3 linked regions of the Cricetulus griseus genome follow. The protein of the gene in region 1 interacts with the protein of each later gene in a pairwise test. Links are inferred from orthologs where the notes say so. Each region holds a gene or a part of one and is shown on either strand. Other genes may lie near its edges.

The links. The genes of interacting proteins can lie anywhere in the genome.
Region 2: the proteins of Arhgef11 (region 1) and Plxnb1 interact in a two-hybrid assay, tested with the Homo sapiens proteins (2 studies listed by BioGRID). The link is inferred for Cricetulus griseus from reciprocal best matches to the Homo sapiens genes ARHGEF11 and PLXNB1.
Region 3: the proteins of Arhgef11 (region 1) and Plxnb2 interact in a two-hybrid assay, tested with the Homo sapiens proteins (2 studies listed by BioGRID). The link is inferred for Cricetulus griseus from reciprocal best matches to the Homo sapiens genes ARHGEF11 and PLXNB2.

The regions. Positions count from the first base shown.
Region 1 is NW_023276806.1:66,736,169-66,745,316, reverse strand, and holds part of Arhgef11 (rho guanine nucleotide exchange factor 11), read left to right. Parts: intron 1-891; coding exon 892-1,018; intron 1,019-3,887; coding exon 3,888-4,067; intron 4,068-4,147; coding exon 4,148-4,195; intron 4,196-4,377; coding exon 4,378-4,565; intron 4,566-4,968; coding exon 4,969-5,115; intron 5,116-5,376; coding exon 5,377-5,456; intron 5,457-5,610; coding exon 5,611-5,736; intron 5,737-6,200; coding exon 6,201-6,318; intron 6,319-6,913; coding exon 6,914-7,092; intron 7,093-7,636; coding exon 7,637-7,712; intron 7,713-8,005; coding exon 8,006-8,173; intron 8,174-8,959; coding exon 8,960-9,050; intron 9,051-9,148. UniProt on the Homo sapiens protein: May play a role in the regulation of RhoA GTPase by guanine nucleotide-binding alpha-12 (GNA12) and alpha-13 (GNA13). Acts as guanine nucleotide exchange factor (GEF) for RhoA GTPase and may act as GTPase-activating protein (GAP) for GNA12 and GNA13.
Region 2 is NC_048597.1:217,209,598-217,219,374, reverse strand, and holds the start of Plxnb1 (plexin-B1), read right to left. Parts: upstream 6,053-9,777; coding exon 4,940-6,052; intron 4,239-4,939; coding exon 4,056-4,238; intron 3,678-4,055; coding exon 3,549-3,677; intron 3,424-3,548; coding exon 3,323-3,423; intron 3,047-3,322; coding exon 2,914-3,046; intron 2,649-2,913; coding exon 2,492-2,648; intron 2,231-2,491; coding exon 2,122-2,230; intron 2,042-2,121; coding exon 1,933-2,041; intron 1,526-1,932; coding exon 863-1,525; intron 685-862; coding exon 562-684; intron 364-561; coding exon 241-363; intron 1-240. UniProt on the Homo sapiens protein: Receptor for SEMA4D. Plays a role in GABAergic synapse development. Mediates SEMA4A- and SEMA4D-dependent inhibitory synapse development. Plays a role in RHOA activation and subsequent changes of the actin cytoskeleton.
Region 3 is NC_048595.1:385,929,419-385,939,317, forward strand, and holds the start of Plxnb2 (plexin-B2), read right to left. Parts: upstream 6,053-9,899; 5' UTR 5,908-6,052; intron 1-5,907.

The sequences.
Region 1 (9,148 bases):
TGAGAAAGGGGCCACAGACCAATAATTTTTGCTCTCTCAGGCTTGGGAATCTTCCTGAAAAAGTCAGATTTTTTTTTGTGATGAGGGGGTCTTTTTGTTGTTTTTGGTTTTGTGTTTTGTTTTGTTTTGTTTTGAGACAGGGTTTCTCTGTGTAACAGCCCTATATGTCCTTTAACTTGCTCTGTAGACCAGGCTGGCCTCAAACTCACATAGATCTGCCTGCCTCTGCCTCCTCCTAATTGCTGGGATCAAAGGTATGCACCATCACTACCCAGCGAGGAAGTCTATTTTAGACAAGGAGTCTGTATTGTATATGTAGAATCTTTAAAGTCAGTCTCGTTGTTGCCAGTTCCAGGGATACTTACCCTGCCTCCGCCCTCTACCCAAGCCCTGCTCTGACCTCACATGACTCAGTTTTGACTTGAAGATGAACTCCTTATTGCCTCCCTGGCTCCCAGATGCTGAGCTTAGTATGAGCCCAAGGTTTCCAAGTGTTATGTCTTAGTGTCTCCTCCCTCTCTGTCCCTTGCTTGTTCTTGAACAAGACTGGCTCCTAAGCTGTCAACTTGGGAAAAGGGCTAGAGTTCAAATACCACAAAGTAATGTGTTACCTCTCTTCCTAAGAGAGGTTTCCGTCTTCCTGCTTTCTTTTTTTCTTTTTTAAGACCTGCTGTGTGACTTAAGGAAAACTTAGTCATTGTTTTCAGGTAGAGTGTGAAAAGAGGAGACCTAGAAAGAGAGAGTGTTCAGCCAGGACTAGGCCAGGTTCCCTATCTTCTGGTCCCATGCTGTTCTCATCTGTGCTTGTTCATTGCTCTGTCTTCTGGGCTAGAGGGGAGTAAGGGCCCTGGGACAGAAAGCATAGTACCTTCCTTTTCTTTTTGCCTGCAGTTAAGCCAGGCAATGTGAGGAACATCATTCAGCACTTTGAGAACAGCCATCAGTATGATGTCCCAGAGCCGGGGACACAACGACTCTCAACAGGAAGCTTTCCTGAGGACCTGCTGGAGAGTGACAGGTAGCTGGAGCTGGATGGGACCCACCAGCTGCCCAGACACGGAGCACGGCCAGGCTTCAGCACTAGGGTTTAATTCCTACTGCCTTGCTCCTCTCCACTAGACTGTGAGGCTGCAAGTAGAGCCTGCCCACCCTAGTAGCTGCAGAAAGCATAATGTATTGGGAATTAGGCCAGTGGAAGATCATGAAGGCAACCTTCAGGTGGATCCCCTAACTACTGAGCAGTTACATCCCAAAATGGAGCTCGATTATGTTATCCAGCTACCGATCAGGAAGTGCTGGGTGATGTGGATAAAGGACTTTGGAGGGGACAGAGGGAAGTCTTAGAAAATGAAACTCTGCCTGTTAAGAAGAAAACTTAAGCTAAGTGAGATGTCAAAGCACACTGTGAATCCTACCCAGCACTAGGGAGGCAGAGGCAGGAGGATCTTTGTGAGTTTCAGGCCATCCTGGTCTACCTTGTCTCTGTAATAATAATAATATAATAAATAATAATAATAATAATGCTTTTTTAAATGCTTAAAAAGGAGTTTCTGCTGACACTTTTAAAGACAAGCAGTAACTGGGAATGAGTCATCCTTCTCAACAGACTGTAGAGTCAGTTAGCTCAAGACCTTCAAAAAGAAAAGGGGGGCAGGTGTGGTGACACATGTTTGTAATCTCAGCACTCCTCAGACTGAGACAGGAGGATCACTGGGAGTCCAATGCCAGCCTAGTCTACAAAGACCCCATCTCACAAATGATGGGGACAGGGTCGGGATGGTGCTGTCTTGTTTTGTGCATCTCTGTCAGATATCGGGTTCTAAACAAGGATGTTTGTGTGGTTGTAACACATGCTATAGATTTCCTTGCTCCTGACAGGCATGACAGTAGTCATGGCTACACCAAGCTTTAGAATAAAGATTGCCTCTAGTCAGAAATGGCTGTGCAGATTCCTCAAGCCATCCTTTTGTACGGGGAAATAATCCTGTTATACAATCAAGTTTGAAAGCCACTGAGGTATAGAGGTGGGCAGGAAGGCAAGTCCAAAGGCAGCAGTGTAAATAGTCTAGCCATTTTGCCTTTGAAATAACTATCAACTCATAAGTCAGACAGTCTTGCTTGAATGCAAGTTTAATCTTTCTGTTTTATATTAGCCCTCATAGACTTAGTGTGTGTCAAAGGATTTAGCCATAGTAAGAGTTGACAAAGATTTTGGGACAGTAAACTTTAGATTTGTACTGTAGAGAGAGGTTGACTTCTAACATTTATAGGTAAATTAGATACAAATTACATAATTGCTGTGACAGGTGTGATTATTTGGATATGTCAAATATTTTAAGTTTGGGAGATGTCAATACCTTGAGAAAACATTTGAAACATATACAGACTTGCACTCTTGGCCTTGCTAGGTAAATTTGATCTACCTAAGACAGATGGCTGTCGATGCTTGGCAGGTATTGAGTGCCGAAGGGATCTTTTAGGAAGTTACAAAGCTTTGTAGCCTCTAACCCAACTGGAAGAGGTTTGTAGTGCTGACTGAGGACAGAGAAAACAATGTGAGTTGATATGGCTTAGATCTGGCTTGTTTTCAGAGATTCCTAAGGGGTAAGTTCAGGAGGACATCAGTTGTCAAGATGTTTGCAAACCCTGAAGACAAATTCAGGCCCGAAGGAGATGAGCTCTGTGTTGAATCCTCTGGCCTTTTAGAGAAAGTGTAAATGAAGATTCAAGGTACTTGGCTCCCTGTGGCAGCCGCCTGCTTTACTATTAAGCACTCTCCAGACATCTCAAGGCCTTCTGTGGTTCCAGATGTAGAACAGGATATAGATTAGCAATAATGTCAACAAAGGGCCAGCCCAGCAGGGCCTGGTGGTACATCTAGGGGCATCTAGGGGTCAGAGATGCTAGCTGTATTGAGGCCGATGTACTGCAGGACTCAACAGAAATCAGTTCTCAGTTGTCAGCATCTCACCAAGCCCTAAGGATGCTTGTTAGCCAATTAGGACAACCAGGAATGAACCCCTGCCTACTGTAACCAAGCTCTGGAAGCATCTTCCCTGGCCATTCCTCCCTGGAAAGGAACTAGAAGCTTAGGGAAGGTGCTATCAGTAGGAAAAGGAGAGATCTACATCATAGCGGGATGGAGAGTAAGAATACTAGAGCAGATATCATCTTCTGACAGGCGGCTTGGGGAATTACAGGAACCCTAAGTATACCCCCCTCAAAGAGGATGTTGTCAAGGAAAGATCCACCTCAGTCAGAATAGAGAGTAGTAGCTGGTCCAAAACAGTCAAGGTGTACTGGTCATGGGATGGCCTCCAGGGCAGTGGACCTTATGACCCCTAATGAAAGACTATGAAATCCATGTGTCTTCTGAAAGGATCATGGTGTCTTAGGCATCTGGAGACAACACAAACCTGATTCTCTTAGCCCAGCGGTTCTCAACCTGTGGGTTGCAATCCCTTTGGGAATTGAACAACCCTTTCACAAGTGTCACATATCAAATATTTGCAATTCATAACAGTAACAAAATTACAGTTATGAAGTAGCAATGAAAATAATTTTATGGTTGGGGGTCACCACAACATGAACTATACTAAAGGCTCCTGGCATTAGGAAGGTTGAGAACCACTGTCTTAGCTCCTGACTTCACCTTTCTGATAGCTCAAGGTGAAGAAGAGAAACTATCCAGTAAGCCCACCGAGGAGAGCGAAGAGTCTGTAGAGCAGCCAGAGTGGCTTGTCATTGTGCAGCTTCTGGACCCTCATGTTTGGGCCTTTCAGGGCCAGGTAGAAAACCTGTGGTATTGAGGCGCCTTTGGAGTGGGGTAATAGGTAAAAGCTAGCCACAATGTCAGATCTCAAAAGTTTCTTGTCCCTCTATGGCAGTTCTCGCTCAGAGATTCGCCTGGGCCGCTCTGAGAGCCTCAAGGGCCGGGAAGAGATGAAGAGATCTCGGAAAGCAGAGAATGTGCCCCGATCCCGAAGTGATGTTGACATGGATGCTGCTGCTGAGGCCACTCGCCTTCATCAGTCAGCCTCATCCTCTGCCTCCAGCCTCTCCACCAGGTAACTTCCATTGCTATTTAGTGTCGTTAGATACATTGTTGTTGTATACAGTATATTCAGAGCTGGTATTTTCTCCTCAGGTCCCTTGAGAACCCAACCCCTCCCTTCACACCCAAAACGGGCCGCAGGTGAGTGGTGAGCACCGTGGTACCTCTGTTTGGTGTCTCTGTGGCACTTTCACGCATCTGATGATGGCCAGATGTTTATCCATTCTCCATGGGCCTTAGACAAGCAGGTTGGATAGGAGAGTGACAGACAACCTTGAATGTAAGTTACTCACAAGTGAAACTGAGCTCCCCATTTTCCCCAGGAGCATTGAGTCCCCCAATCTGGGGTTCTGTTCAGATGTTGTCCTTCCCCATCTTCTGGAGGATGATCTGGGCCAGCTGTCTGACCTGGAGCCAGAGCCAGATGTCCAAAACTGGCAGCATACAGTAGGCAAGGACGTGATGGCAGGGCTAACACAGAGGGAGATTGACCGGCAAGAGGTCATCAATGGTGAGAACTGCCTTGCTTCCCTCATCGCCACTCATGCTTATGTGGGTAGGAGAGATTCTCCAAGGTCAACTCATTTCTGGCCTTAGCCCAAGGGTAGAGAAACCAGCACTCTACTTTCCTAAAGAGTAGTATGGTGTGTGGACCAGGGAGTGACTCTAAACCAGTGGTTCTCAACTTGTAGGTCTCAACCCCTTTGGGGGTCACATATCAGATATTTACACTACAATTCATAACAGTATGAAATTACACTTATAAAATAGCAACAAAATAATTTTATGGTTGAGGGTCACCACACCATGGGGAACTGTATTAATGGTTGCAGCACTAGGAAGGTTGGAAACCACTGCTTTAGACACTTGCTGATCTCTTTCCCCTCCCTCTCCTTGTCACAACCTCTGCTCAGAGCTGTTTGTGACAGAAGCATCCCATCTGCGCACCCTCCGGGTCTTGGACCTCATCTTCTACCAGCGCATGAAAAAGGAGAACCTAATGCCTCGGGAAGAGCTGGCGAGGCTCTTCCCTAATCTGCCTGAACTCATAGAGATTCACAGTAAGGAGCCTGCACCCCTCCCGACTCCCTCTGCCACCCTCCTCTCTATTTCATTTGGACCCCACCTCAATCCCCTAAATAAGTAACCCCACTACTCCTGAGAGAAGCTGACGGATAGCTTGAAACCAACCTCCAGATCCAAAGTAAAGGCTTCCCGACTTCTCCATTGCACTACTGTCAAAAGTGCTTTTCCTTCTAGACATAAAGTATCTAGCAGTGTGGCTCAACCCAGGCATTTCTGCTTCTTCCTTCTTACCACAGATTCCTGGTGTGAAGCTATGAAGAAGCTCCGGGAGGAGGGTCCCATTATCAGAGACATCGGGGATCTCATGCTGGCTCGGGTATGGCAAGGAGGAGATTGGAGGAAGCAAGATCCCTTTACCCAAGACTGAGGAATTTAACAGAGAAGGGGATAGTCAAGGGGGGGGAGGTAGGGGGGGTGCTGCTCCCTGACAGGAGTGTGATACCTGGACCATGTCCCGTCTGCCTCTTCAGTTTGATGGTCCTGCCCGAGAGGAACTCCAGCAAGTAGCTGCGCAATTCTGTTCCTATCAGTCAGTAGCCCTAGAGCTAATCAAGACTAAGCAGCGTAAGGAGAGCCGGTTCCAGCTCTTCATGCAGGTATCCTGGGCTGTGTCTTAACCCTCCCTCAGCTGTGTCCTACTCACCAAAAGTCTCCTAACCTCACCTGGCCCCAACCTTGTCTCTACTGAGGTGGGCACCTAGCAGTCCCCTCTACCTACCCACATCACCCACAGCAGTACTGTAAAGCGTTGCCTCTAGAGCCAAAGATCCTTTGATTGAGAAGTACTGTGGACTAGTAGGCAAAGGCCTAGCTTGACTACCAGCACTGGTGTGTGCTTTTCTGTAAAACAGGAGTGATACTGCCCTTCTGTTTTGACCATCTCTTCCTGGCAACATCAACCCCTCCCGAAATGTTAAAGGAAAAAAACTGCCACCAATTCCAAGTGACCATCCGGGGTTAGGACCTACTTGGCCTTTTCACAACCATCTTAGCCTTGACCCCTAAAGGCAGCTCCCAACTACTAGTTGACATCTTCCTCTCTCTGCTTCTTGCTATCCAGGAGGCTGAGAGCCACCCTCAGTGCCGGCGGCTGCAGCTTCGAGACCTGATCATCTCTGAAATGCAGCGGCTCACCAAGTACCCTCTGCTGCTGGAGAATATCATCAAGCACACAGAGGGTAGGGCATGGGGAGGGCTAGTGGCTTGTGGCAGCAGACATCCTTGCTTTGTCACAGTTTTGTGATCTTAGAAAGCCTAAACCTTTGAAGTCCTTAGTGTCTTCCTTGTCCTGGTACATTAAGTCTCAGAGAGGAGAATAATTGTAAATGTGTTTTGGAAATACAAAGTGCTGTACAGCAGGGAGAACAGGGCCACTACTGGCTTCTGGGCCTTTATAGAAATCAGGAAGCATAGACTCAGTGGCTGGCCCTTAGAGGCGTCTTGGCACCTCTGGGCAACTGTGAGTTCCTGTGAGGGCTATGCTGGATTTTAGACCCATTAATACCTCTGTTGGGTACCTCTGCAGTGTATGAAAGCTATAACCAGGGGACTAGCAAAATGACTCAACAGAAACCCACAGAAAAGGATGGAAGGAGAGAACCAACTTGACAAATATACACACTGTGGTGTGTGTGCATGCATGCACGCACACACATACACACACACAAAGTAAATAATCAAATATGCTAATCATATATAACTCTAGAAGAGTGATGAGCATATGCACTCTGCAGGCAGAAGCACTAACTACCACACATTTCCCCCTTTTGGTAGGTGGCACACCAGAACATGAAAAGCTCTGCCGTGCCCGGGACCAGTGCAGAGAGATTCTCAAGTTTGTAAATGAAGCAGTGAAGCAGACAGAGAACCGTCACCGATTAGAGAGCTACCAGAAACGCCTGGATGCCACTGCCCTAGAGCGGGCCATCAACCCCTTGGCAGCAGAGTTCAAGGTAGGAGGTGGAGGTTACAACACTGGCAGCCTTCTTGGGCCCTCTGAGGAGCAGAACTCAAGTCAGGGCCCAGTGAGTCTTAGAAGTAAGATACATGGACTGCCTGTGATAGGGTGGCATGGCCAGGCCCTGGAAGGCACACCCTATTAATGTCATTCATCCCTAGATGAACAAGAACAGCCCCACTAAGTAAAGACCAGATGTTGAAACTCAGCTGAAGGAAATAGAATGGGGTAGGACTTGAGGTAAAGGAGGAAATAATGTGGCAAGAATAAAGCTAAAGAAAAGGTCAGGAAAAGCAGCACTGCCTCCTTGGGAGGTTAGTGGCCAAGTGGGAATCCCAAGTCTAAGCCTTTAATATATTCCCCAGAGCATCACAGGCACAGGGCTTCCTAGCACACTTTACTTCCCTCCATCCCTGTAAGAGCTTAAAGGTAACAGTTGTTTCCTACCTGCTGATTCTCAGCACCTTCGCATAATATCCTTACACAGTAGCTTCTTAAATACTTGTTGAGTGAATGCAGTGATGATGTCTCCTTTATAGAGCCTGGATCTTACAACGAGGAAGATGATCCATGAGGGACCCCTGACCTGGAGGATCAGCAAAGATAAGACCCTGGGTATGTGCCAGGGACTAGAAATGGGAGGGAGCCTGTGGTAAGTGTGCTTCTCCAGGGTTCGCTCTTCTTCTCTGTTGCATGAGCTTTGGAAGTTGCTGCTCAAGTAGAATAAAGGGATGCTGGGGAGGCATACATAATGCAACTAGGATGGCACCACGGGGCCCCTTAAGCACAGTGTGGGAAGGAGGGATATAGAGACAAAAAGAGTTGGAGTCACTGGATTCCTATGGCTTGGGCATGAGCATGTAATAGCCTCTGGGTGAGTGAGCAACAGGGATTGTCTTAATTCCCAGACCTCCAGGTGCTGTTACTGGAGGACCTCCTAGTGCTGCTACAGAGACAAGAGGAGAGGCTATTGTTGAAGTGCCACAGCAAGACAGCTGTGGGCTCCTCAGACAGCAAGCAGACCTTCAGCCCTGTGCTAAAGCTCAATGCTGTGCTCATCCGCTCCGTGGCCACAGGTACCCATGAGAGATGAGCCAGCAAGCCCGGGGCTCTGGGACATGTTCACCATTTACTACCCAGTGAGCACTGGGTGATGTAGGCCCTTTCTGGGGCTTTACAAGGCTTAATGTCCTGTATTCCTTTCCTATCTTGATCTAGTCTAAGCAGGAAGACCTGGTCCAAGATGGGCAGGGTGAGGGGTAGAAAAGGGACCAAGGTAAAGATGGACAGCCTGAAGCAGGGGTGGTCAGGCTGAAAGGACCATGATGGGTAGAATGGGTGTACTGGGCGGGGCTGAGAGCATTCTGTCAAAGCAGGAATGGAAGAAAGGGAACCTAAAGAATAGGACAGATCTTGTTGCAAGAATGCCTCAGATAGAGCAGCGTTTCAGAAGAAAGCACACCTACAGCACAGATCTGAGTCCAGGAGTTTGAGGTAGCAGGGCAAAGTATGATATGAGAATGGGCAAGAATAGGCAACCACATTCTCTGGGATCACCTTCATCTTTGACACCTGACCTCCCTAAGCAGCTCAAAAAGGATGGGGTAGACATGAAAAGATTTGGTAAGTCCTAAGCACTATATGAACATCAGCCCTCAGCAGAGCAAGAGGGAAGTAGGAATGACCTAATGTCATTTGACCCTGACAAATGTCATTAGGAGACCCATAATTGCCTGTTTTTTTTTGTTGGTGAGTACCAGTTGATTCTGATGACCCAGCTATATCTCATAGTGTTTTCTTCAGGTTGGGAACCATGGCTGCTATGCCCAGTGTAGACTTTCTGCCTTCCTTTCTTCACCCAGATAAACGAGCCTTCTTCATCATCTGTACTTCGGAACTGGGCCCTCCCCAGATCTATGAACTGGTTGCATTGACATCATCAGACAAGAATATGTGAGAATTGATTGCGGGGTCCCATGTAACTTCTGTCCCCTTGGAACCAGATTGGTGTGTAGAAGGATTTGAGCAGTGAGGCCAGGGCTGGGCCCCAG
Region 2 (9,777 bases), on another chromosome or scaffold:
TCAGGGATCCCAGGGTGAAAGGGCAGGGGATCAGCAATGGAACTAGAATGTAGAACCCCTTGGGATATCTTCAACTTAGAGGTCAGACTGGGACACGGGGACCCCATGAGGCACATGGCACAGGTGGGGTACCCATCTGTTTTCCAGCTTGGGCTGTGACAAGCACAACACCACCAGCTGAGGTTAGCAGCCAGCCTGTGGCCAGTGCTTCCATGTCTACCCAGGCTCCTGTGTCCGCACCTGGTGTTGCTGGCACTTGACATGACACCAGGTGTCTGGAGGTGGCTCACACTCGACCTGGGCCTCAACTGCAACCTCCAGGCCCTCCAGCTCCATCACACATTCACTGTTCCTTGGGCCATCCTGGGGGCAGAGCACGTGTTGTTCAGGTTGCTCTAGAAGCTAGCCCCTGCAGGCTGCAGGCAGGCCCTGCCCTGGTACAGCCCAAGCTGGGAGGGAAAGGTGGGGCTGGTGATGCGCTCCTGTTTTATAAGGCTTGGGTAGAGTTGCTCAGTAGCCAAGAAGTCTGAAGGGAATGAAGTTAGCTGGACAGGCACCCACCTGGAAGAGCCGCAGGTTCCTGCCTCGAAGCTGGATCTCTCGCTCCACATGGACTGGTATCAGCAAGGAGCCTTGAACATTCTCCACACAGGGGCAGGAGCTCACCCTCTGGCTCATCTCTCCCTGTAGGCACCAATAGTGAGGCAGTCTGTGGCTCCCACCCTGCCCACCTCAGTATTCTACCTCACTTGACTCCAGTGGCAGCCCTGTCCCCACCCTCACAAAGCAGAATCACAGGGAGCACAAACGGCTGCATCTTGCCATCCCCTCCCTGAGGCCTCCTTCCTGGGCTGGACCTCACCAGCTCCCAGAGCCCGGGGGTGTCGTACTGGTAGTCGAGGCTGGACAGGAGGATGAGGGGGGCAGGAGAGCCCTCGTGCTCTGCTGAGTCTCCATCACCTGAGAGGAGTGTGGAAGTGGAGAAGGCAGGCGTGTCAACCCCCATCCACTCATCCGCCTCGGGCAGCTCGCCGCCTTCTTTCACGAGCCAATCCAGAACAGGCTTCATGGAGCCAGTGGCCCCTGGGAAAGTGGTGGCAGGAGCAGTGCCAGGGGGATGGTCCAGAGCCCCTGTGGAAGGCAGGGCCTCAGGGCCAGGCTCTGCAGGGGACACTGTAGCTGCATCTGAGGGGAATGGGTAGGAGGCCAAGAGGTCCTCAGGTGTGGTCATTGGTTCCAAGTGAGCAGGGGTAGGGACAGTGGTTCCAGGTGTGGTAGGGAGGGGCTTCTCATAGAGAGGTAAGTCTGTGGAGGTAGGGGAAAGTATGGGGCCAGGACCTGCCCATGGGCCCCAGAGGCTGAGCCAGGAAGGCCTGGCCCCAGGTAGGACGTCTGAAACTGTGGAGGGAGCCCGAGGCTCCACTGGGAAGGTGTTGGGAGTAGGGGTGACTGTGGCTTTGGGGACTGTGGGTGGGAATGGAGTGAGTACATCCCTTGCAGGAGGGACTGGGGAGAGGAGTGGGCTCTGAGAGGGAAGGCCAAGACAGACAGGAAGGGCCACTCAGCAGGCAGGTGCAGGAGCAGGCAGGCAAGGGTATGTTAAGAGGGAAGAAGACCGAGGAAAAGAGAAACAAAAAACATCCCATTAATTCTCTAAAGCAGGAACACAGAGGGCAGGCTCCAGGGGGGTCTGTGCCAAGGTAGCAGGCCAAGGCCACACCTCTTGCCCCTCAGCTTAAATGTCCTCTCCCAAAACAGATGGGATGGACAAGTAGCCATTCTCCCGGAGTGTCTGTCACACAAAACAGCTGGAGTACTCAGCACAGAACTTCAAAGGAGGTGGCAGGCACACAGACCCCAGGCCATTAGAAACCTCACCCTGGGGAGCCTTAGCCCCACCCCCAACATGCCTCATTCTGGAGTCCCACTCACCTGTTGGCTCGCCACCATGGGCCCAGCACCACACGAGGCCTTGTGTGTGCACAGGTGCTGCCACACACACCAGTTACACCCCCAGCGGCTGCTCACACAGGCCTGGCACCTGCATGCATATAGTGGTCATGGAATGGAGGTCACAATAAAGGAGCCCAGTGCTGGGGACAGACAAGGTAAGGAACTCACGGTGCAGACGGGAAAAGCTCAGTAACTGCCATGCAGTCATAAAACGAGAGGGAAGTGTTGGCGATCACCACAGCACCAAACCTGAGCTCCACGGTCACGGAGACGTGGTCTGCAGCATGGGGGAGAAAGCCAGAAATGAACAGCGGGAAGGGCATAGGGTCCATATGGGATGAGGCTGACACCCCAAATGGAGACAGGAACTAGGGTCAGAGAACAAAGCCCTCAGGACATATAGCATGGACACTGTGGGGACTCAGAGCACAACCAGGGCTATGTCTGGATTCACCTCTTATCCCAACAAAACCCCTTAGAGCAAAGTGGAAGCAGGATGGGGCTCCCAGGTCCGGGGCTGGCCCCTTCTCTCACCCACCGGCTCCTCTCTGCAGCATCGGAGCCTCACTAGGGTCTGGGGAGGAGCACATCACACCAGAACCAGTCAGCAGAGCAGGACTCTGATGGTCTCCAAAGTAGCAGAAATATGATTCCCCCGGCCAAAGAGACGGCAGGCCTGGCACCGACAAGAAAACCTACCAAGAAAGCCAAGGGCACACTTTGGGATCATTGGCTGGTAGACCAGGAACTCTCCTTTAAGGGGCACCAAGTCCAGGTTGGCATTAGCATCCTGTAGCCCTCACAAACAACCTCTGACCTTGATTGTTACAGAGAAATCCAAGGCCCAAGAGAAGTGGCTGAGGAAGGCCATGTGGCATTTGATGCAATAACTCAAAGATCCAAGGTCTCCATCCATCCCGAGTTCTCCCCGTTGGGGCTCTGCCAACTCCGGTCACTTACCTCCCTCATCTCCTCCCGACTGATATTGGCAGGGCTCACAGCCACCACTCGAAGACAACCCAGTTCCGACTGGAAGCTCCACAGCCACTGCTCTGGGCCCTGGCCCCTGGAACACTCTGACCGGCGACTGCATCTAAGAAGAACCAACATGTTAATTGTGACCCTCAAGCAGTCACCAAGAATTCACAAAGCAAATATATCTCTAGCCCCGAGGCCCTGGCCACAGTCCTCACGTGGGGTTGATACCAGGCTCTTGTGTCTGCTATGGCAGAGAACTGAAGCCCTGAGCAGGGGGATAAAGAGCAGAGGGGGGTCGTCCACAGGTCAGAAATTGAGAGTTGGTGGACAAGGGCCAAGAATCTTGTATGAGGCACAAGCCCAGGTCACGAGTTGGAGCAGGAGCACTAACCTGCCCAGGAGCACGCACCATCCACAGTAAGGGTCCCTGTGGGCAAGGCAAGAGTCACAGTCCAGACGCTGAGCACAAGGGGCCACAGGAACCTTCACAAGCTGTGACAGCAAAGAGGACCTGAGGCTGGCAATCCAAAAACTAGTGGCCCACCCACATATGGGTCCCTGTACCATCCCAGGAACCGCTCCCAGCAGCCATTCCCTGGCCTGTGTCCAGGACTTACGGTAGTCTGGGTCGCTACATACAGATGCTCAAAAGTACCATCAAAGGTAAGGTCTCTGCTCACAGCAGACCCCGGCTGGATGCTCTGTTTAGAGTACGGGGCAACACTTCTTCCAGGGCCCAAGTAGACCTAAGATGAAAGACCACAAAATCTGGCACCGAGCCCAAAGCCACAAACTCAAGACCTTCCACTGCTCAGAACTAGAACAATTTATGAATAAGAGCGTTCTCTTTGGGCAGATGTCGGGGGGGGGGGGGCAGTCTTAAATTCCAGCACCGTGGAGGCAGAGACAGGCAGATTTCTGTGAGTTTGAGAGCAGTTTGTTCTACACTGTGAGTTCCAGGTTATTACAACCAGCCTGTAGGGTGTATGTGTATGTGGGGAGAATTATAGGTAAATACACCCTACCCGGGCAGGAGCAGCATTTTCAGAGCCAGAGCAGGGATGGGAGGCACTTAGTATGTCACATGTCACACATTCAAACCTTAATACTTCCTAAGGACGTACCCTATGCAACTGTCCTTGACTGTCACCCAGGAAAGCAATGGTGTGTCCATCCTCCATGGTGACTGCCACAGCTGTTAGTTGAACCCCTGGCAGCTCCAGAATTGGTGTGGCTTCCAAAGGGACACAGCTGACCATGGGGCTGGGTGTGTGGTCTGAGCCACAAGGAAAGGCATCCGGGGTATCCTACAGGTGGCAAAAAGCATCACTAAGACCCTGCCTGGATAACCTTCCAGGTAAACTTCACCTAGGTCCCAATCTCCGCTTGGCCTCCCTGGCAGTGCTGTCCTGGGCAGGACACTCCTACAGGACCATCCTTAGCTTTACCTCAGTGTGCTTCCGTCCTCCATGTTTCTGGTGGTTCCTTTCCCTTTTCATCTCCATCCTAGCAGTGGTCCCCATTTTCTGCCATCCCTTTCCTGGAAGCTACTTCCTCCAGTTGCTATACTCAGTATCTTTTCCTGAGTCGTCTCCTAAAGCTCGCACAGCTTGGCTCCACAACGCCCAGCCCACTTGCCTGTGCCCTCTGCACCTCACGGACTCAGTGAGCAGTTTCTCCGTCTCTATCCTTCCTAGGCTATAGCCACAGAGTCTTTACCTTTTCTTTTGCTCCAGAACCTAAAACAAGAGGGCTCATTCCAACACTTTATCCATACCCTCGAGCCCAAGCACTCTCTTTGCCGACTTCTACAGTCACTTCTTCAGTGCCCTGACTCAAGCCCGTCCCTCCAACTGCTCCTTACCACCTGGCTCAGCCACTGCAATAAGATAGTCACCTTGCTCAGGCCTAAAAGGAAATACCTAGCACCTGGCATGAGAGCCACTCTTCCCAATCCCTGCTCCTCAGCCTTCCTGGCAGTTGATCAGTGGCAAATGCCTGGACTCACCACTGGCAGCTGCGCACAGTCAGAAAGGACATCGTATGCAATGTCGGCCACCTTGGTCCCATTCTCAGCAAGGCCTTCCCGGGTGTAACAGGCATCTCGAGTATAATTAGCAAGCTGGTCTACCTCATCCAGGGGGAAGGCACAGAGCACAGAGGTTCCATATGCGGATGCCCCAGTTGAAGCCGACAGGGGCCAGTCCACAGTAGGAGGAGCCACTGAGGAGAAAGCTGCAAAGAGCACTTCCCCACGGGCCACCTCTTTGGATGTGGTGACAGCTGCAGCATGGATCCAACCGTAGCGGCCACCCTGGCAGGCCAGGGGCAGCTCCACATACGAGTAGTAATGCTGGTCCTGAAGGCACACTCGGGACACATAGGCACGGAAAGCTCTAGAAGGGGCCTTCAGGTCGCGCCGCAGGAACAGGAAGTAGGCACTGGCCCCACGTACAAAGGCACTCACGAAGTGATGGCTGTACTCAGAGAGGCGGCCCACTGCCAGCTTGGCTGTCTCTTCATAAGAGAAGGCAGCTTGGGGGTCCGGTGGCCGCAGGGCCCGGGTTGTAATGGGAGGAATGCCACCACTTACGCCCTTGCTGGTGTACCCCCGCCCCACAAACAGGAGGGGCTCCCCCAACAATCCCTGGGCAACCAGCCCCACTGTGCTAACTGCAGGGTCATTTGCAGCCACATACTGGGTGTCCCCAGGCCGTTCTGGCCGGAGCAGCAGCTGTCCAATCTGTCCCAGGCTCCGCAGCTCACAGATACCCTGGTGAACACTCCCACACACCACCAGTGCCTCTGGGCTCACCAGAAGCAGCTGGTTAGGGTTGTTAGTAGGCTGGGCGAGGGGACATTCGTCAGGTATCACAGGTGGCAGACAGTCTAGGCTGTCATTCACAGGGCCTGTGGACACCACGGCCTCCAGCTGCAACCCAGGGCTCAGCTGGAACAGGAAGTTGGTGGCCCCTACATAAAGGGTACCTGAGGTGGGGTCCCTTGCCAAATGCTGTAGTTGTGTGCCATTGGCAGTAAAAACAGCTGGTAGAGGGGACTGTAGGGTGAGGATACACCCGGCCCAGAGCATCTGGAGAAGAACTGGGCCGAGGACAGGCATGGTCACCTGGCAGAGAGAAAGGCTGGATGAGGCTCACATGGCCAGGAGGGTACTCAGAAGTCACTGATGGGGGACAGGACTGTGGCACTGCCAAGATGTTCCTCCTAACCTGGGCTACTGAGAGATTCCTAGGCTTCACTAGGCTTAGATGCCCGGGTGATCCCAGGACTGCACACGTACTGAGGCAGAAACAGAAGACATTGCCCTTGGAAAACTCAACACTACTCTCTCAGGAGACCTGTACCTCCTCATATCCCACCCTAGCCCTCACCTGATCTCTCTGTTCCTTCTAGACCCTGCTCTCTGATTCAAATGATGAAGAGGTCTCTGAGGAGGGAAAGGGTCCCTCTATATGGATACTAGATTCCTGGGCAAGAGGAAAAGGGGTGATGAGGTCTTAAAAGACTACCAGCATGTCTTAACAATGCAAGAATTGGACACAGGGATGGGTGTGGTGGCACACTCCTTTGATCCCACCTCTTGGGAGGCAGAGGCAGGTGGATCGGTCGGTTTGAGACCAGCCTGGTTCATACAGAGAGTTCCAGGACAGCCTCATAGAGACCTCGTTTCAATACAACAACAAAATAAATAAATGAAAAAGTAAAGAATTTGGATGCAGGGCCCTTCAGGCCAGGGATCTAAAAGGGCTATGTTGGGATGGGTGAGAGCTGAAGGACAGGGCCTCACCTTGGGGAGCCCTGAGTAGCAGAGACAGCTACACAGTTCCCCATTAGGGTAAAGTCTGGCTCACCTGGCAGGGCTGGCTGGGTCAGGAGATGACAGCATGACCTGAGCAGGAGTCACCTAGCCAGTGGGGAAAAGCAGAGAATGAAGCTGGGGGCTGGGCTGCAGGCCTGCGGGAGCCCTGGACTCCCTCCCACTCCCCAGCCCACGGTGGAGCCCAGCCCAGCCTGGCCCTCAGCCACCAAACACATTCCACAGAGGACGCCTCCTCAGAACCCACACAGGGAGGGGGAGGGCAGCAGAGCCAGGCACCCGAGGGGCCTGGGAAAGGTCAACTAGAAAGGAACCCCATGGCCATCTGGGCTCAGTCAGGCCCCCAGCACCGAGGTCCCTTCTCGGCATCCTTTCCATCCCACCCTTGGCTTTAACTTTGCCCATCAGGGCACTCAGCTCTACACTGCTCACATAGACTAGGGGCCACCCTAACTCAAACGGGCATCAGCACACCAGCAGGGACACATGCACACACACTAAGACAGACGCATGCCACCTACACTGAATGCATACGTCTCCACACAAACACAGGAGCACTTGCACACACAGACAGACACATGACAACGCATGCAGATATGACCTATGCACACAGTAGACACATACACACAAACATTAAACACACCACACAGGGCACATGTATCTATGTTCAGACACCACATGAAAACAGTCATACAAAACTCAGCCCCTACATACATTGCATGGACATGTCATACCTCCACCGAGACAGACATACACACATTAGACACCTGCACATACAGACTCACGCACACTTCCCTGGTTCCAGCACTAAGTCCTAGAAAGCTGTGGAAGGCAGGCCATCTCCTGGAATTTTCTCTCCTGCAGGTTGTAGAGTCAGAACCCAGAGTGCAGTATGAGTGGTAGGTTGGGTATTCTGAGGAAGTGATCATGCCTGGCTGTGCCCTGCAACCTGAGTCCAAACCCAGGACTTCCACAGACTCTGAGTGCCTGCTTTCCCACTTTGCAGGCCCCAGCTAAGGCTCCTAAATTCCAGACCTAAGTAACTATGGCAAAACTACCTTCCCCAAACTCCACTGGTCCTCACTCAGGAACACAGTTTGGTTGGGGTATGGGACAAACCATTCTACATTGAGAAACATTCCCCTCCTTGCCTGTGCCCAGGCCACATTGCCCAGCCCCTCCCACCACCTAGCTGCCAGGCTATGCAGAATGTTCCCAAAGTTTTCTTCCTTGAGCCTGGATTGGCCCATGCTATCAAAGGCCTCAGCAGGGCACTCCTGAGGTTGCCCTATCATAAGCAGGGCTGGGCACAAGGCTAAGAGGAAGGTCCAGCAGCCTGGTGGGAGCAAGGACGCTGTGGTCACAGCCCAGTTGGGAGCAGGGGGCCATGGCCACAGTCTGGCTGGGCACTGCTCCCAAAATAGCTTGGGGGTTTCCATTTTTAGTGTGTAGAGAACAGGGCAGCTCTATGGGAGCGGGAACAAGGCTGCTTCTGTTTGCCACCCAAGGGGGTGGAGGGGAAGAGGCAGCAGAAAAAGTCTTGAACCCAGCCTGAAGCCCAGGGCTGTGGCAAGGCCAGGCTACTAAATAGCCCCCCACCTTGTTTCCAAGGGATAGAGAGACCAAATTTCCTCCCCTGGAAAGGCAGAAGCCAACACTTTCACTGCTGCTACCCGACCTTCCCATACTACCTTGGGCCACAGAGGTGCCTTGGGCACAGGGTCCCATAGTGAGCCCAGCATTTGCTGTTTCGTTGGCTTGTAAATAAATATTTGCTCAGAGCCTACTGCAAGCCAAAGTTTCTCAGCCCTCAAGGGGCAGTAACAAAACCACTCCCCAAACTGAAATTACAGCTGCATTGAGGGGAACATACAGAGAAATTTGAGGGCTCCGAAGAGCTCAGCACACAGGTCAGAGGTTAACCCCCTCTAAGGAACTACTTCAATAGGCCTACATACCATGGGCAGGGGCAGGACAAAGGGTAGTGACATTTTCCTCCTCCATGCTAGCAGACAGATTGCACTTAACTACAGAGGTATCCCTAGTCCCTCCAATCTATGAGGACATCACTGGATGCTCTTTAAACGAAAATGCAGTGCACGCCCTCCTCAAGCTTTTTGGGTACGCTAGGGATGGAGAGAGAAAGGCCAGGCCCTTCTTATCCACATGCTCTTAGTTCCTGCCTAAACTGCAGGCTTGTTCTACTCCTCCCTGCCATCACAAGGGCTGTTCCCTCGGCCTGGAATGCCCACTCCCTCTCTCTCCCATTACCTCCCACACCCAGCCGTCACCTCCCCGGGGAGCCTTCCTAGCCTTCCCAGGCTCCTGAGGAGGCGACCCTGTGTGGTAGATGGAATGGACACACCTAGCCACCAGCCTGACTTTCCTTGGGCTTTGAGCTTCGTTTCCTGTTGGTGGGAGGGGACGTAGGGCTGTTCTGAACACTAAATGTGGTACAGTGGATCTGGCATGAGTGGGTCCCGAGACCATTTTCTCCCATTGCATCCTCCCACCCTGGACAAGGAGGAGTGTGCCCACTTTTAATTAGGAGGCCCAAGTAACCGGCAACCCCAACGCAGAGCAGGTGTTCCCTCCACGGTGAATGAGCCCCCATTTCACTGCCCAGGAAATCCAGCCAGTAGGGGTAATATGGAGCTTCCTGCTTTCCAAGCCTCTTGGCCTCTCAAAAGACAAGGAATTGGCACCGTCTTATTAATGATCAGACTAGAGCAGACTGAAAACGCTTATTTGGACCCAAGCCTCATGTCCCTAACTTGCACTGCGAGTATCTCCTCCCTACTCCCTGCATCTCAGGCTCTGTCCAGGCTCATAGCCAAAGTCTAACTCTGCCTGTGCCCAGGCCTGCCCTACAGGCCTCTTCAGAGTCCACACTCCCTGAAACCCTTCAGCGGGGCCCAGGACTGCTTTGCCTGACTTCTGCAAAGGACAAGCACCACCTGAGCCCCTCCTGCAGCGGCTCTCACTAACCAAGAGGGCTCACAAATTCA
Region 3 (9,899 bases), on another chromosome or scaffold:
CACTGCCAACCACTGAGCTGGCTGGCTCCCCAGGACCAACTTTCCCCGATCTCTTTGTTTAAAGTCCCAGCCACCAGAGTGTCTTGTCTGGGCATGGGAGATCCACTCTAGGATCTCCTGGCTCCAGCATTCCCCTCTTTATATGTCTACACAGCCAGACTCCAGGTTCTGCAGCAAGTCACCCTTTGTGACTGCTCACCGGGACTGGGGATGTTCAGACAGATGCCAGTCATAGGAAGTCATGGGGACTTGAGGACACTGCTGCTGGTTACGATGTTTATGCCTTCCAATTCCATTTTTCTCCACTCCTGCCCCACCTATACCTCTTCTCCCTTTCCCAGATCACCTAAATGCTGGCTAGATGCTGCTAGCCAGGGCAGCCTGAAGCTCATGAAGGCTGCAGTTTGCTTAGAACCAGTTCCTCAGAGTCCCTCCCAGGATTCAGCAGGGGTGGGGGTTGGGGGGGGTGCCATTCAGTGGCATGGGGGTGGATGGGTGAGGGCCTGAGTGAGGATCAGACAAGGCCTGTAATCTCCCTGTCAGCCTGTCAGTGTCTCATCGGTCACCCTAGCCCCTCCTCCCCCATCATTGTTGAACCCTACAATTAGCTTAGGGCACCTTGCCAAACCTGGGTGCCAGCCACCACTCACACATGTACAGGCACACACATGTCCATGATTTTGCCAGAGTCTTGCCAGCAGGAAGATCTTGCCCCAACATCTAGAATCAATTCCCAGCCATGACCTAAGGGACTTTGAGAAAGTGGAATATACATAGGTCCCCACACTGGTCATCCCAGGATGCCCTAAGAGAGTTTGTTGGCGCTGGGAAGGCAGGTTGGCCTTGAGGAAGGAAGCTACTCACTGGTGATTCTCCCATCCACATTAAGCCAGGGGCCTGGCAGGCACTTGGCACTTTAAGGAGTGCTGGACGGAGTCTGAGGGTGAGATAGTGAGCAGGGCTCCATGTCCAAGTGACACAATGGAGCAAGCACTCAAGGCTTAGGAGGGACGAGGACCTGGGATTTTCCAATGAGGAAATGCCCAGCTTGGAGTGGGAGGTGATACTGGTATATACATGGGGGTGGGAATTTGGAGCCCCTAACCCAGTTCTTTTCTCTGGTGAGAAGCATGACACACCAGGTCCCTCTGGAGTTTTCTTTAATTCTATGTATACCTGGAAGAAGTGAAGAGATGTGTTCCAGGGAGCACTCCTGGTCAAGAGAGGGCTTGCCTAGGTCCCTCCTCCTCCTGACATAGGTTTTGTGGCAGAGGCACAATATTCCAAATCAGGCCTGATGTTGAAGTGGAGGTAAGGAGGGCTGAACCTTCTGCTCCTGAGGCCAGTCTAGGGACTATTTCTGAGGTTGGAGTAGTTGAGCAGGTCATTCTAGAGCCCTTCCCCTTCTGCCCCTCACCCCTCATCCCTGGCAGCTTTCTTTCTTGCTGGGCAGGGAAGAAGTGCCCCCAGTATCAAGTGCATGATGGTGGGGCAGAGTGTGATCCACAGCAGGGTTCTTCTATGTCCCGGGATATCTGCTATCTTCCACAAAGAGAGCAGAAAGCCCTCAGCCTCTGAACCACACAAATGCCATCTGCTTCCTCCCAAGACAGACCCACACTCTTGTGCTGGAACTGTTCTAAGACCCAGCACTTGCCTAGCTTTAAAAAAAAAAAGGGTTAGGGCTCTTGAGAATGAAGAGACAGTCAGAGGGCCATGTGTCAATCACAGAACACTCTTAACCACAGTCATCTATGCTGCCTACTGCATATTCTACCGTTGACTGAAGAACTCTGAGACTTCCACACATGATGTGGAACCAAAGGAAATAGTGTTCTTCCCCTGAAAAGGCTTTAATAGATTCCTTATGTATCCCCCAGGTACAGCCCTACATTTGGCATGAACCCATCACCAATTCTACAGGTGGACCAATGCAGGACGCAGGTGGTATGCTGTTTCAGAGGCCACAGATCAGAGCAGCCCCATGGAAAGAAAGCTCTAGCCCTGTACACAGCCAACCCTCTTACACAGTCTCTGAAGGGCTCCCAAGAGCTGTCTTGACCCAGGTAACCATCTGAAAGACCAACATTAATGCTTTTTTCTCTTTTTCACCCTGCCCCCTGCCCCCGCCATAGGAACTACTGAACAGCTGAGCCAGAGGGACCCCTGCCTCCAAATGCAAGTGCGTGGTCCCTGTGTCCAGACAGGACATGCCCCAGGTCAGGTTGCTGGGCTGATAGCAAAGCTGGAGTCAAAACTAAAGGGGGAACTACCCTTTCCCCCTTCCTCTTCTTAAGGCCTGGAGCCAGGACCTAGGTGATACCAGAATGGGGAACTTCTGGGTTTCAGAAGTCCAGGGAGCTGAGGAAGAAAGAGGGTGTGGGCAACAAGCCCAGCCCTGCCCCTAGGCACAGTGTCCCAATCCGGTTAAGCCCCTTCTGTGTGTAGTCCACTGGGACCCCAGGCAGCTCAGGTGTGAACTCAGCAGTCCATGGGGACACCCCAGGGAAGGCTGCCAGCCATGAGGGAGGCAAGGAGCCAGGCTGGGGGAGGGGACACTGGGCTGCAGAGGCGGGATCAGAGAGTGACAAAAGACAGGAAATAGTGCTACCAGCTCCAAGTCTGGACCAGCTTGGGATCTTCCCGGTGGCAAGATTGTTACTGTGAGATGGTTCAGATCTGCTCCAAGGGGAGTTCACCATCCTTGACCACCTGGGAGTTGAATCCAATCACGGTCACAGGTTAACGAATTTTAGAGTAAGGAGGGCCCCTCTAGAGTTGGGGTACAGGAAGGATAGCAGAGGCCTTTCCTATCCTTTCAGATGCTCTAATGAGGTAGAAGAGTCAGAGGCAGCACCTGTAGTCAAGAGTTCAGGACAGGGCAGAGTCCATGCTATGTCAACAGAGGAGAGCAGGAGGCTCACACAGCTGGGGGTAGGGAGCAGTAGCTGCCTGGGGAAGTGAAACCTAGAAGAGCATGAAAGAGTAGTCACATGAGGTCTGGAAAGCCAAGAGCTGGGGCAGCTGCCCCTGATACCCTATTCCAACCCCCCCCACACACACACACAACACACACATACACACACACTTCAGCCCTTCCCAGACTATAATTAGTCAGAATCCAGCTCCACCCTACCCACAACCCCACCCTAAACACAAACAGCCATTAGCCCTAGGAGAGGGGCTCTACCCAGCCCCTACCCCTATCTAACCACCCAATGGCTTGGCACAGAAGGGCAGTGAGGCTAATAGAGGCAGCCTCAGCCTCATCCACAGGTTCTCCAGAGCCTTGACTACCAGGCCTTGGTTGGAGTTCTAACTAACTTACCTTCTTTCCCTCACCAAGCCAGTTCTTTTACAAGAGGCCCTCAACAGAGACAAAAAGCTTACTCCCCGAATATCAAGAGCAAGGCAGGGAACAGGAAACAGCAAGAGGAATAGGAGGACATAAGCAAGGAGTGCCTGGCTGCAGGGTGACAGCCCTTTGTGGCAGAGAGGTATGTAAGGGATAGCCGACAAGCAAGGGATAGTGCTTGCTAGAAGATCCTTCCACCAGTGACCCTTGCCTATGTCCAATATCCCTGAGGAACCATTAGCACTAACCATCAGGAGAGGTACCAGGCAGTGGACAGGACATTAGATGTATGTTCTAGAATAGCTAAGGATCTGGTAGGGGGGACATGTGCCATATGGACACCTCCGTAGGCTGTCAGCCCAGCTCAACCCAATCCCTTCCAATTCAATCTCTTCTGCTCCACTAGCAGGGGCCAGGGCCAAGTCCCTGGGCTTCCTGCCCTTGGGCATCAGCTGCTGGCTCTACTTCCCAATGTGGTCTCCATCCAGGCTCCTGGGCAGTCACAAGCCCCAGGAGCCAACTCAGGAACATCCCAATGGCTTCTTGTAGGGACCTTTATCTGCTCACCTGTGGGATGTCCTGACCAATATCACATTACTAATGAGGGGCGGAGCCGGGAGGCGGTGCAGCCCTTCATTGAACAGCTGGTCAGTGAGAAGACAGGTAGGTGGCCTAAGGTTTAGCTCCAGGAAGATGTGCTTCCTGATCTAAGTCATTGCCAGGAGTGGGACCCATCCCAGGTGTCCTTAAACATGGTTTTAGGGAGTGAACCGGGTCTTCCACATGGGTCTGAAGTACTTCCTGCCCCATGGGCTCTCTCAGAGGAGCCTGGGCATATTCCAGGCCGGGCAGGGCCTACAAAGAAGCCGACCTTGAGGACCTTCTCTAACCCAAGGTGACACATGCCCTCCTACCCCGCCCCTGACTGGTCTGAGCAGCCATGGGAGGGAGGTGGTAGAGCTGCCTGGACTTGCCAGCCCCGCCCTCCTGGGGCTCTCAACCCCGCCCTCCTGGGGTTCTCAACCCACGGCCCGGAAGTGGGTCCCTTCAGCCTCCCCTTCTGCTTCAACCTCCTCTTTGGGTAGCTGGAATTGCTGGACTCGGCTGGATAATCCAAAATAATTCCTCCTTGGCAGGCAGCCCGTGGGGGAAGGGGGACTCACATTCCAAACTCTTGTTTTTCTAAGTAACTTCCCTGAGTTCCTGGGGCTAGGAACCTCTGTCCCGTCCTCAGGCCTCCCCAACTCCATGGAAGGGTGTGAGACTAGGTACCCAAGGAACCGTGGTCTACCTGCTTATTTCTGTCTTCTCTAGCAATTTCGATACAACACAATAAGGTTTGGCACATTCCACAAAACACCTCACATGCTCGCCCTACTTTCGTAGGAACTTCACCTCCTGACCAAAGAGCGAGAACTCTTCCCACTGGTAGTCCAACTTTCTAATGGCATTCCCTACGTACCAGGGTAGCATCCGGGTGTAGGATCAGGCTGACAGCTCCCACCTTAAAGGTGTGCGTGGGCAGCCTGAGGAGTTCAGCTTTAAAGCCATCAATACAGACCGAAGATAGACATTAGAAGGGGCACTCCCCAAGGCAAATGAGGGCCCTCAGAGCCTCTGTTCCTCAGGACATTACACTCACTGACTTTGGGCCTGGCTTCAGCTCCAGTTCTGACCACCACCACCACCATAGTGGCCACTGGCCCACCTCTCTTCCTGCCTTCTCCAAGGAGCTAGAAAAAGGAGTTAAGTGACGTGGCCAGAAACTCTAGGATTCTTAAGATCGGAAACCCCCAGACCGGGAGACACTACCCATCCACACACAAATCTGCCACACAGCCTGACCAGAGGAACAGTATGGGCACATGCATGAGAGCTCCCTGCGGAAGGTATATAGAAGTAAAGGGCTAGATTGTGAAAATACCTCCCAAGTTCTAAGCCTTCTGTCCTAGGTGTCCCTCCAAATATCACACCAACGAACTACACTAGAAGCTGCGGAGACCTTGCTGGGAGGCGTGGGGCCTCACCAGGTACTACTGGGTGTTAGTTCTCTCTGTCCCTTGTTCCCTGTCCCAGAAGGTGTGGGGACTGCTGCGGTTGTGCACCCCTGGAAAAAAGCTCCAGCAGAGCCCGGCTCTGCGCAGGCTTAGCTTGAGAACTGGGGCCTGGAGGTCCGGCATAACAGGGATGACTCTCTCTGGTCCTTCGATTCGGCAGGCTAAGAGGTAGGGGCGCCAGCCGCGAGGGAGGGTTTGAAACTACACTGGGTAGAGTGCAGCTCCATTAGATCGCTGGGACCCGGCCAGTCAGGCCAGTCTCCCAACATCCCGGCGCGGAGGGCCTCGTCGCCAACCGGTGGGGCAGGAGCAGCCAGGCCCAGCCGGTTGGACAGACAGACACAGGGCAAAGACGCAGGCCCGCGTCGCCCACAGCGCAGCGGCACTGCCCTAGCACCCCCGCGTCCGGGTGCGCAAGCCGAGGCCGAGCGGCGCGGAGAGCGAAGCCTGGGCCTGCGCGACGCCCCCCGCAGTTCCCGTCCCCAAGTGCGGTACCTGCTCCTCCGCAGCCGTCGCTCGATGGCGCCGGGGCCGCGCTCTGCGTTGCGCTCTGGCCCGCGCGGCTGCCATGGAGACGGGCCTTTGTGTGGCCGAGGAGGGGCCGGAGCGCGCGGGAGCCGCCGGCCCCGCCCCCGCCAGGGGAGAAGGAGGGCGGGGAGGACAGGGGCGGGTGAGAGGGAGGGACGAGACTAAGGGATAGAGGATAGCCGACCGAGGGTAGGAGGGGCAGCTGGCGTCCCTAGCGTACCCCGCGTTTCCCCCTGCTCAGAGCCACTTAAGCACACTGCTTTGCTTGGATGTTCGCTCCCTGTAGCAATCCGCGCGCCCTGCCTGCTGCAGTCGCGTCTCCCCCCACCCCCATCGCCCCGTCATCAGAGGAGTTCGCTGAGGCTGGGCACCACCCCGGGAGTGCCTCAGGCCGAAGTGAATTGGTGCACGCGGCCCGGCACTGGTGGGTGGCTTCGGCTGGGCCAGACCGAGGCCTTAAGTGTTCCTCTTGGAGATGGGCGGGGCGCAAGGAACCTCGCCACCAGATTGGCAACAGGGGGACCACGCTCGTGTCCTTCCCGAGGGTGATTCTTTCTCCGGGATTCTAGCCGCTCAGTCTCCTGCAGAATAGCTGGAACTCTGCTCTCATTGCCCTCCTTCCTGGTCCCCTGGCCCATCATATCTGGGCCTTAGCGACCCCCAAGTCTTCATCTATTGGGTAGGACAGAACTACTCCCTAGAGTTCCTACTTCTTTCTGATCTCCAAGTCACCCATGCTGTGGCCCCATGGATTTGTAACTTGGCGATGACCCCACTGTCGCAGAACAGGGTTTGGGACTAGTTTGCATAGCTCAGCTCGTGTCTACCCTGCAGTATCTATCGCCTCCACCCAAAATTGCCCTCCTTGAAGACTGCCTACTTCCTATTTCCTTAGGCATCTCCTCCCCAACTTTGGGGATCCACCCCAATTCTTAAGCCTTCCCCAGCAAAAGACTACAAATCTGAGGGTTTTGCCGGTTGTGTAAGCAAGACTGACTTGCCCCATCGCCAAGCAGCTAGGCTTTATCATATTACCTTCTTCCCTCCAACAACAGTTTCCCCCCCCCCCACATACACACACATACCAAGGGACTTCAAAATATCTAGTAATTTGCAGGGCTGCAAAATCTGTATCAAAAAAAAAATAAGTATTTTACCACAAAAAGATATTTTAATACCAAAGTTGTGGGAAGGCCAGTATTCCAAACTGAGTGGGGCTCAAAATAGAAGGCAGGAAGCTGGAGGGTAAAAGATCCCTCCTGTTCTTCCGGTCTTGTCCCTGGGGCTGGCTGCCTCATGACCTCCACCCAGCCCTCCTAGATCCCTTGAATGCTGGCTCACAGCTCTCTCCAATATGCCACACAAGGGAGCCCTGGGGATCACTGCATCTTGGATTTTTTTTTTTTTTTTTCACTATCCAGGCATCTTAACCATGAGGGCCCTTGGGCTTGGGGGGAGGGAAGCACTTCCTTGAAGCCATCTGTCTTCTCTCCAGGCCCTGCCCTGGGCATGGACTTGAAGTCTTTAACCTACTCTGGACAGAAACCCCCACTAACTCAGCTGATCCCATCCTGGGAGAGCTAGAGTAGAAGAGGATGTAGCTGGTAGGAGGCCCCAGGCTGTAAACTCTACCCAGTAGCCAGGACAAGCACCTAAAAGGAGATGGTACTTTTTCCTCATTCCTATATGCCTTGGGTCTATGCCCTAGGAAGTACTGTTGTGAACACACACGCCACATAACCCCTAAATCTGTTTCTGAGTCCCATGTCCAGTGTTCTGAGAATGACTGATTGCTAGGACAGAAGCTAATTAGTCCCAGGTGGATGGTGTCGGAGGTCCATGGGAGCCACTATGAAGCTTACTGTATGACAGCCCCCAGAAAGTGAAGGGAAAACACAACACATTGCAGTGGCATTTGAGATGTGCTCTTTAGAGTGAGACCAATAAGACCTGGGAGCTTCAGACCTTGCCACTCTATACTTGGATATGAGGCTGGGCACACCAAAGGCACAGTTTCAGACTCCAAATGGCTAGCACTGTGCTGTCCCCATAGCCTGGAAGCTCCATCTGTCACAGTGGAAGATGCCATATTTCTGAAGATCCCTTAGAGACCAGGCTTTTGGTGGTGAGGCTGGCACCTCTGTTTCAGGAGGTGCCAGGGCCACTCTTCCTAATGCCAAGGACTCAACCTCCACCTGCTCTGCTCAGTTTTCTAACAGGACACTGAGAATGATTTAGCTCACTGTACACCTTCATCACATCTATCTTGTCTATTTCCTTGCCTGTAAAATGCATACAACGTGACAAACTGTTATAGCCTGAGGTCATAGGGGTAAGGGAGAAACAAAGATCTAGGAACAGGCCTGGCACCTGTGTACAATGGACAGCCTTTGTTACATCTGGACTTAGCCAGAATCAGTGGGGAAGGGCAAGGCAATACATACTTGAGGGTTTGATCAAAGGAATCCGAAGAACCCAGAGGGTTATAGTCATGTTACAGGAGAGCTCTAGAAGAAAGCAAAAACTCACCGTGCAGCTCTGCATTAGCTTACTTTGTGAATACTCCTTAAACATTACAGTGTGTACAACCTGTTCTTTCTTTTTTTTGGTTTTTCGAGACAGGGTTTCTCTGTGTAACAGCCCTAGCTGTCCTGGAACTAGCTCTGTAGACCAGGCTGACCTCAAACTCAGAGATCCACCTGCTTTCCGAGTGCTGGGATTAAAGGCATGTGTCACAACTGCCCGGTCAGTCCACTCTTTCTAATGCCCCTCTTACCCTGCTGCTGCCCCAAACTGCCCAGTGAGCCATCTACATGGCCTGGTCTCTCAGATTTAGAGTCTGAGTGGTCAGGAGACCCACCTACAGGTTTCTGATACTCAGCTGGGGTTTGGCGGTAGCTCTGGATCTTACTTAGTCTGTACCATCCCAACAGCCCTGATATTGTGCTAGGCTGTAACATTGTAGCTCATTGTACCCAGGCGGGTGGGGGTGGAGGGGTCAGTGCACAACAGTATCCAATCCAGGAAGGGGTGAGACAGGGCTAGAAAAGACTCCTCCAACCGTTCAGGGACCAGGCTGTGGTTCCAAATGTCATTTTTACTGCTGGGACAAAGGTGGTTCTAGGAGGGGGAGCTGAAGCCAGGTCAGAGCCTTGAAGGGAAAGGAAGGCTTGGCAGACTTAGGTCCCTGGGATCACACAGGTTAACCCTTTCCTAGGAAGAGCACAGAACAGTACCTCCAAGAGACACCTTGGCCTGAGAGATCAACTGTACCCTAAGGACAAGACAGCAGAGAATGCAACATTAGGCTACAGTCCAAAGCTTTCAAGCTTCAAGGGGAGAGGCAGACACAAGAAGAAAAGCCAGAGTCTCCCTTGGCAGCTTGGGTGAAATGCATGGCCGCAGGTTTGGGGGTGGGGGGCCCCGAGCTTGCTTTCCAAGTGGGGTGCCAGGTCCCATAACCATCCCTCACTCTCTCATCCTGACCAGTCAGAGCAGGAAGGAGATTTAGGCCCTCACAGGACAAAAGCTTTCTGCCCCCTCAAGTAGCTGCCTCGGCAAAGTACCCATCACTCCCAGAAGAGGGAATGAGTGAGTGGAGTGTAAAGAAGGGCTGGCCCTGGCAGCTGCCTCCCTCTGTTCTGAGCTGGGAAGCCTGCTGGGCTAAAGGACCCACAACACAAAGCATCCTGAAGTGTGGGCAGATGGGAGCCAGGAGGGGGCAGGTGGTAAAGGCACCTACAGCAGTGAGGGCTACTAGCCCACTCCCACCTGCAGCTTCAGAGGACAGGTGGGGACCAGGAAGGAGTGAGGCAGTGCCAGCAGAGAATCCCCCCACAGTCAGGGACCAGACTGTCATTCCAAATGTCATTTTTACTGATGGGACAGAGGTGGTTCCGGGAGAGAGGCTGAAGCCGAGGTAGGAGGCCAAGGCTGGGAGTCCCAGCTTGGTGGATGCC